Linked DNA regions of Ovis aries. The protein of the gene in region 1 binds, or shares a complex with, the protein of each later gene. Links are inferred from orthologs where the notes say so. Each region holds a gene or a part of one and is shown on either strand. Other genes may lie near its edges. The genes, in order: GATB and GATC.

The links.
Region 2: GATB (region 1) and GATC share a complex: the UniProt entries of both Homo sapiens proteins name them as parts of the heterotrimeric GatCAB amidotransferase (AdT) complex. The link is inferred for Ovis aries from reciprocal best matches to the Homo sapiens genes GATB and GATC.

What each region holds. Positions count from the first base shown.
Region 1 is NC_056070.1:6,170,274-6,174,602, forward strand, and holds the start of GATB (glutamyl-tRNA(Gln) amidotransferase subunit B, mitochondrial), read left to right. Parts: upstream 1-1,283; 5' UTR 1,284-1,300; coding exon 1,301-1,476; intron 1,477-3,662; coding exon 3,663-3,813; intron 3,814-4,329. UniProt on the Homo sapiens protein: Allows the formation of correctly charged Gln-tRNA(Gln) through the transamidation of misacylated Glu-tRNA(Gln) in the mitochondria. The reaction takes place in the presence of glutamine and ATP through an activated gamma-phospho-Glu-tRNA(Gln).
Region 2 is NC_056070.1:62,882,996-62,887,377, forward strand, and holds the start of GATC (glutamyl-tRNA(Gln) amidotransferase subunit C, mitochondrial), read left to right. Parts: upstream 1-1,483; 5' UTR 1,484-1,520; coding exon 1,521-1,601; intron 1,602-1,709; coding exon 1,710-1,882; intron 1,883-4,382. Other genes in the region: TRIAP1 (TP53-regulated inhibitor of apoptosis 1), read right to left, coding at 64-147, 1,271-1,417. UniProt on the Homo sapiens protein: Allows the formation of correctly charged Gln-tRNA(Gln) through the transamidation of misacylated Glu-tRNA(Gln) in the mitochondria. The reaction takes place in the presence of glutamine and ATP through an activated gamma-phospho-Glu-tRNA(Gln).

The DNA.
Region 1 (4,329 bases):
TATCTCAGTGAGTAACTCCATCAGCCATCCAGTTGTATAAAGCCAGAAATTCAGAAGTTACTTGACCCTCCCCTAGGCTTCCGCCATTATATCTAATCCAATACCAAGTCCTCCAATCTTACCTTCCTAATCTATCTCACAGAGGTCAATTTCTCTCTGCCTCCACCACCACACTATTCCATCATCTCCTTCCCACACAGCTACTCTGAAGGGCATGTACTCCATTCTTTTGTCAAATGCATTCTTCACACAGCAATCCTTCAATCAACAAGCATTTCTGAGAGACCTACTTTGTACTTTGGTAATACTGTATTGAATAAGGCAGACCGATTTCCCATTCTCAAGGAGCTTGTGGAGATGGAAGACAAACATCAGATAGTCACGAGCACTATGTGGAGTATTAGTATAGGGCGATCTAATAGAGAATGGTGGAATAGCTGTTCTAAACTGTATGCTCAAATACAAGAAATCAGTGGGCGTTTCAAGAAGGGGATGCATTTTGAAGCAGGGGGAAAAAAAAAAAAGAAGCCCACTGGGATGATGGTATTTGCTATCAAGGCTTCCGTTGTTACATAGTATTTTCAAACACTGGCCAAGATCAAAAAGAAAAATTTAAAATCTTCCTGAGGTTTCAGTCTAGGTCTGTCTATCTCCCAAGAACCTGTGCTGAAATATGGTCCTTATGGTCTATCTGAAAGCATCCTATTTTTGTTAACTTCTCTGTATGTCTAGTCTACCAAGAATGTAAGTTTCGTGAACATGGTGGCTATATCTGCCTTGATCACTGCTGAATCCCCCGTGTCTAAGAACCATGCCGAGCATATTGGCATGCAAATAATTATTTCTTGCAGTTATGCTTACATTTGGGTCTGAAGTGGAAAAGGAAGCAGAAAAAAGAACTGAGTTGGGCGGTTCAGAGAGTCTTTATGGAGATGTCAAGGTCATTTACTTCAGCCCGACAGGTTAACTGGTATATAAAATCCCAGCCAGGTTTCTCAGCTTTCGATCTCTGGCACCGCCTGCTCTCTCTCTCACGTGCTTACAGCTACAAACCTCTCCAACTCCCCGCTAGGAGGAGTCACACCTTCCCACCCAAAAACCCTCCCACTCTCCCGGCTCCTTCTGCTTCCCGCCCCCTCCCCGCCCAGTTCCGGAAGCCTTCCGGTCGCAGTGCTCTCTGGTAATAGTAGTCTTCCGGTCCGAGTCTAGCGCGGTTTATCTAATTTCTGAGAACTACGTTTCCCAGAGAGCCTTGCAGCAGAGGGAGGCTGTGTCACCTGACCAGGACTCTGGAGAGACAATGGCGGCGCCCATGTTGCGGTGGTGCTGTCCTGGAAGGCGGTTTGCTTTCGCCCGGGTTGGCTGCGGTTCTTGCCACAGAAGAGGGCCTCCGACTGGGTCCACGTCCAACGGGAAAAGGGGGCAGAGCACAGTGGCTCAGCAGCCCCACATCACAGCCCAGAAGCCGAGAAAAGGGTATACTATTTCATACCAGTATTGCCCACTTAAAGTTGAGGTAGAACTGTGGGACTTGGGAGATGGCCACTACAGACTTCCCTGGTGGCTCAGACGGTAAAGCCTCTGCCTACAATGCGGGAGACTCGGGTTTGATCCCTGGATCGGGAAGATTCCCTGGAGAAGGAAATCGCAACCCACTCCAGTATTCTTGCCTGGAGAATCCCATGGCTAGAGGAGCTCGGTGGTCTGCAGTTAATGGGGTCGCAAAGAGTCGGACACCACTGAGCGACTTCACTTTAAAGCCCAGCCTTAAGTCTGGACGTTTTGGTGGGCGGGAACGTGTTGGGCTGTATGTTGCAGCCCTGAAATCTAAATAAAGACAGGAAACTGGCTGTCTTATCAGTCCCTACCCCACACATAAACCAGTGTCTTCAGATAGCCTTATTTGGGTAATTTGAGAGTGTAAAATAGCAAGTTTTTTTTTTTTTTTTTTAATGTTTCACAGAAGAGTGGTTCAGTCACCTTAACTAGTAGTCAGCCCAGTATCAGTAGAAGTGGGATCTTATTTAGCTGACATGTATTTAGCACACTACGGGCCAGCAGTGTTTTAGTGGTATAAAGGAGCCTTTACCTACAAGTTCTGGATGGCTGGCCTTGAGTTAGAAAACCCACCTATCTGTGGAGGCCTTTCATGTTGAACGTGTGGGGTGTGTGTGTAGACCTAGGAAGATGCAGCCAGTATGAGATCTTCCTTCTGGTTCTGTAGAGACTGTTGCTTATTTTGCTCAATATTGTCTGAACAGCTGCTTATATTTCACTGTATAAGACCTAAATGATATCTTTTCAAGTGCAGAAATATAAGGCATGTGTCAAATATTCATTTTTTCCTTTGAGATAGTTAGGTTGCTGTTATTTTTGCTTTTCTGTTTTTACAGAGGGGAAAATGTCCAGAAGTACTGGTTCTGTTCTTTTCATTAAATTAGGTTGTTTCACTATGAAAAGTGAATGAAAAGTTTTTTTCTCTTATGTAATGAAACTGCAAAAAAACATTGAATTGGGTTTTAGTGAATGCAGATTTCTGATGACGTCTTAGTTTGATTCCTCTCAATTATAGTTTGTGATTGCAAACTTTAAAAATAAGGAATTCTTCAGTACTATAAATACAGAACTTCATGTGTTGAAATGATCGAAACAAAACCAAATGCATGTAAATAAAAATTTTGATAATACAGAAAATTGCTTGAGGGAAGAGCAGGATAGGAACAGACAGAATATGGAGAGCGTATGTGTACACCAGGCCATCTGCAGATTGCCCAGGATACATGGGTTTGATAATAACCCATAGAATAAGCACACTTAGATGAACCTAGGGAGACCTGTGTATGGAATGTTCATACAGACCCAGCAGAGTAGGAGTGACCAGACAAGAGATTATTGTAGCATGTGAACTGCACTATTGCAGCTTCTTGGGTGTGGTAGCAATTAAGTTTAAAACATGCAAAGGAACCTGACACTAAGTGTCTGGAATTTAAAGTCATTTGGGGAACCGGGGGGCTGGGGCGGGGGAGCCACTTGTGATGATTTAATGTTTTCCTTTGTGCAGAATTCCAAAGATTATCATTTAGTAGTAATCCATTTTATCTGTATCACTATGGTTACTTTACTTGCAAACCGTTGTTAGAAAATGAATTCAAAACATGACTGAGAATTTCCCTTCCTTTTTAAATAATGAGATGTACAACTATTTATTTACCATTATTTCTCTAGTAGTGAAATCTTATTTCTGTTAGTTCTAAAAATGTTCACAAAATCAGCTTTCCTGAGTGATTAACTGGCAAAGGACAGTTAATTTAGAAAATGGTGCTTCTCATTAAAGTCAGCCAAGCAGTCTCCACCTGATAACCATTTCTAAATTGTTTTCAGATCCCATATTGTTCCTGTTACCTTGTTTGCACAGGGAACTCTTCTTATGCCATGTTATAAATGAATATTGCTTTACCAGTCTTCTTGGTGTTCATTTTGCATTTCTTTTAATTTAGTTACCCAATACAATGTAACACATTTTTTAAAGTAGAATATACAATTTTAATAAGTTAAAAGCGCAAGTGGGAAGTATTAGTAACATTTGCAGTTTAAGCTCATAGAAATTCACTCATGGTAATAGATCTAACCTAATGACTTCTTGGCCATTATGTTCTCTTTAGTGAACGTGAATGGGCAGCTGTAGTAGGATTGGAAATTCATGCCCAGATTGCCTCCAACTCCAAACTCTTTTCTGGATCTCAAGTCCACTTTGCAGCTCCTCCCAATTCTTTGGTATCTTTTTTTGATGCATCTCTACCTGGAACTTTGCCGGTAAGGTTTTTATTTAATGCTGTTTTCATTTGCAAAATGTTCATCCTTCACTGAACATAACTCTTAGGAAATACTTGTTTAGGAAACTTTGACTGGAGTGGGATGGCCTCAATGTTTTCTAAAGACTCATCTCTGAATTCTAAGTGTAAATGTCATCCGTTTGTTCATACATACATCTCACTCACAGACATCTCACTCACAGTTTAGAATGTCTGCTGAATACTAGAATGTCTGTGCTATGAACTGAAATAGAAGGACGAGCAACTGTCTTTGTCTTTGAGAAGTTCAAAGGCGAGTTGGGGAGATGTGTCCTGTGTGAGTACTGTGTGATTATTCCTGTGAAGGTCATAAGCACAGTTTAGTTTTGGATCCCCGAGGAGGGATACCTAATTCAGTATGAGGACTGTTGTGAGAAATCAGGGAAGGGGTGTGGTTCGTTAAGGAAAGGTCTTTGGGGGAGGAGGTGTCCGAGCTAGCTGAGAAGCCAGGTCGGAGTCAGGCAGGTACCTGGGGAAG
Region 2 (4,382 bases), about 57 Mb from region 1:
GACACGATCCAGGGTCCTCAATTTCCTGATTTGAGGAGTCCACTTTAAAGATGACTGTCAAGGTCAAGAAGAGCTTTCAGGCTTTTCTTTGCCATGGCCCATGAACTCCAGTCCTTCAATAGGAATCTCCTTCTCCTTTATCGCTTTCTGATGGAAGAAAACATGATAAAGGGACTACATGAAGCCTGAAGTCAAAACTTTAGAAATACTTTGTAGAATATTTTGTACTTTAGGTACAAAAGTAAATCCAACTGTACCATAAGGACTACCAAACATGACAAACCCGAAGTATGATTATGAAGAAATTAAGTGTAAGACCAGAGAGAGAAGTTGGAGAGTTGTAACAAAATTCAGAAGTGCAATTTAAGCAGTATCACCACTCTGTTGTGATACTTGTTTAGTCACTAAATAGTGTCTGACTTTCGTGACCCTGTGTGACCCCTGCCAGGCTCCTCTGTCCACATGATTTCCCAGGCAAGAGTACTGGAGTGGGTTGCCATTTCCTTCTCCAGGGGATCTTCCAAACCCAGGAATCAAACCAGCATCTCCTGCATTGCAGGTGAATTCTTTACCACTGAGCCACCTGGGAAACTCCTATTGTGACAGACACAAGTTCAAATCGGTCCCAGGACTTACTGGCTACGTAACTTTGAGCAAGTCTCTCTTTCCAATGTCTACGGGACAAAGACAAGTCCACCTGGACTTACTGAGGATGTTTTTTAAGTTAACTAATTGGGACTGCCTTGCCCAGGGCTGTTCTTACAATCAGATCTGTTTCACATTCACTGTGCTGGAATAAACATGTTCTAACTGGCCAAGAGAGAAAACATAGGCCAGTGAAGGCATTGTGACAACATAAGAGGACCCTCCATGAGGTCTAACAGGCCAGAGACTTAACACCCCGTCTGTCAGTGGAAAAGTGCACCACAGCAAAATCCAAGGACACTTGATTCTAGTGAACTTCGACTACTCGTTTAACTATTTCTGGGCGTGAGTGTTCCACGTATAAAATACAAATAACTGGGCTCACTTTGCAAGTTCAGGTTCATCACCAAAGGAACCAAAGAATGTAATTGGGCTCCGCAGAAAGTAAGGTGCTGCAAAAAGACTTACCTTTGACATTCGGAAAGATACCACGCATCCCGGGTGGTGAATGGTAAGGGAGAGAACTGCCACTGGTCTCATCGAGGCTTTTCTTCCACCCTGCCCGTCCCAACCCCCTCGAGCCGGGGCCTAGGGCAGAGGCGAGAGGGCCCGGGTAGGAGCTCACCTGAACACACTGCTGGTAGCGCTTGAAGAGGTCGGTGCATGGGTCCCCGGAGCCATCCCCCTTGAGGAACTTCTCGGCAAACCAGCGATTGAAGCACTGGTCGTACTCGCGCTTCATGTCTGTGCAAGCCTCCCCTACGCTGTTCATGGCGTCGGCGTCCGCGGCGGTGGCGGCGCTCTCGGATGTCATCACTTTTAAGCGCGTCGCGCGCTTAGGAGAGGATGCGCTACGGCGGCCGACAGGGAGCGAAATGTGGGCGCGGGCCGTGCACCTATGTCTTCGGGCTGCGGCGCGCGGGCGCCGGGGCTTCACCTCCAAGGCGGATCCTCAGGTAGAGGTCGGGGAGTCCAGGCGGGTGTTGGAGCGGGGCGGAAGGCGGAGCAGGCCCCACCCGTAACCCACACCCTCCGCCTCATTCGCCCCCCCACCCCGCCCCCAGGGAAGTGGCCGGGTCACGGGCGAGCTGATCCAACACCTGGAGCGGCTATCGCTGGTGGACTTCGGCAGCCAGGAGGCCGTGGCCCGGCTGGAGAAAGCCATCGCCTTCGCCGATCGGCTCCGCGCGGTGAACACCGACGGAGTGGAGCCCATGGAATCAGTCCTGGAGGACAGGTAAGCTCGCGGCCGCGCGGCCCTCAAAGGATGGCCCGCGGCGTCTTCGCTATCAGTAAGGGCTGGAGCTTAGTCTCTCATTCCACCGAGGGGAAAAGAACATTAGCGACACGCGAGAACTTGCGCACGGTCACCCTGCGAGTAAACGCTTTCGCTCTTTGCGTCGTTCGTTAAGGATCCTCTCCCTCCCCTTTAAAATCCTCTAGCCCTCCCTGTGTAACAAGGAACAAAATCCAAACGTCTAAGCTTTCACCTTCTAAGCCCAACTTTCTAGAGCGCCCCCTACCTCATCACTCAGACGACTTGACTTCCTGCCTATTTCTGCTACACGCCAGATTCGTGGCTTCTCTAGGTCTTTGCCCTTGCTTTTCTTTTTGTTGGACAGTTCATCTCTTTGGCCTCTCCTTTGTTGGCAAAGTAATGTCTCTGCTTTGAATTTGCTGTCTAGGTTGGCCATAACTTTTCTTCCAAGGAGTAAGCGTCTTTTAATTTTATGGCTGCAGTCACCATCTGCAGTGATTTTGGAGCCCCCAAAAATGAAGTCTGACATTGTTTCCACTGTTTCCCCATCTATTTCCCATGAACTGGATGGGACCAGATGTCATGATCTTATGTTGAGCTTTAAGCCAACTTTTTCACTCTCCTCTTTCACTTTTATCAAGAGGCTTTTAGTTCCTCTTCACTTTCTGCCATAAGGGTGGTGTCATCTGCATATCTGAGGTTATTGGTATTTCTTCTGGCAATCTTGATTCCAGCTTGTGCTTCTTCCAGCCCAGCGTTTCTCATGATGTACTCTGCATAGAAGTTAAATAAGCAAGGTGACAATATAGAGCCTTGATGTACTCCTTTTCCTGTTTGGAACCAGTCTGTTGTTCCATGTCCAGTTCTAACTGTTGCTTCCTGACCTGCATATAGGTTTCTCGAGAGGCAGGTCAGGTGGTCTGTATTCCCATCTCTTTCAGAATTTTCCACAGTTTATTGTGATCCACACAGTCAAAGGCTTTGGCATAGTCAATAAAGCAGAAATAGATGTTTTTCTGAGCAGAGACATTACTTTGCCAACAAAGGTCCATCTCGTCAAGGCTATGGTTTTTCCAGTGGTCATGTATGGATGTGAGAGTTGGACTGTGAAGAAAGCTGAGCGCCGAAGAATTGATGCTTTTGAACTGTGGTGTTGGAGAAGACTCTCGAGAGTCCCTTGGACTGCAAGGAGATCCAGCCAGTCCATTCTGAAGGAGATCAGCCCTGGGATTTCTTTGGAAGGAATGATCCTAAAGCTGAAACTCCAGTACTTTGGCCACCTCATGCGAAGAGTTGACACATTGGAAAAGACTCTGATGCTGGGAGGGATTGGGGGCAGGAGGAGAAGGCGACAACAGAGGATGAGATGGCTGGATGGCATCACTGACTTGATGGACGTGAGTGAGTGAACTCCGGGAGTTGGTGATGGACAGGGAGGCCTGGTGAGCTGCAGTTCATGGGGTCACAAAGAGTCGAACACGACTGAGTGACTGAACTGAACCACTCTAAATTCTCCCTCCACTCCCTCTAGTCACTATCTCCTTATCCTGTCGGGTTTTCTTCCACTGTTTTTCTTGATTATCTTATTTTTGTTGACTTGTACTATTTCTTGTAATTAGAAAGTGAGCTCACATCTGACTTGCTTACTCCTGGATTCCTGTCTCAAAAATTTTTTAGATATACACTTTTTCTGACCTAGGGGTTCCCTGTCTGTGACATATATCTGTGACAGTGCATCAAGATGTGTGCACGAGCATTCAGGGTATGCAAATCTGTTGATAATACAGAACAACAGAAAAGAAACTGGGAGGGATTGGGGGCAGGAGGAGAAGGGGACGACAGAGGATGAGATGGCTGGATGGCATCACTGACTCGATGGATGTGAGTTTGAGTGAACTCCAGGAGTTGGTGATGGACAGGGAGGCCTGGCGTGCTGCACTTCATGGGGTCGCAGAGTCGGACATGACTGAGTGAGTGAACTGAACTGAAGCGTCCTTCATGGCTAAATTAATCTTCATACACTGAAATGACAGTTAAAAATAATGAAATAACTATATATGCTGATATGGAAAGGTTTCCAGGGTATACTTATTAATAATAAAAAAGGCAAAGTTCAGAATATGGTGTGTGGTTTCATTGATGCTTTGTGTGTAATCCATTTTATATACTCTGGTGCATGCATTAAGTTGTTTTGTTCCCTGAAAGGGCATGCAAGAAACTGTTAACCATGGTTAGTGTTAGAGAAGGTGGAAATGCAAAGGGAAATTTACCTTTGACTGCCTAAGGGGGCAGAGTAATAATCCAAGTAGTGAAGTAGTGTAATGCAACCCGGAGGGCTGGGTCTTTGACAAAGCAGCTTGTGTATACTGTACTTAGAGTGTGCAGCCCCTAACCACCTCTACCAGTTATTGCCAAATCTTAATACATTTTTAAAGAAAACACTCTTTTTTGCAAAGCAGACTTGTTTGCCATTTAGGAG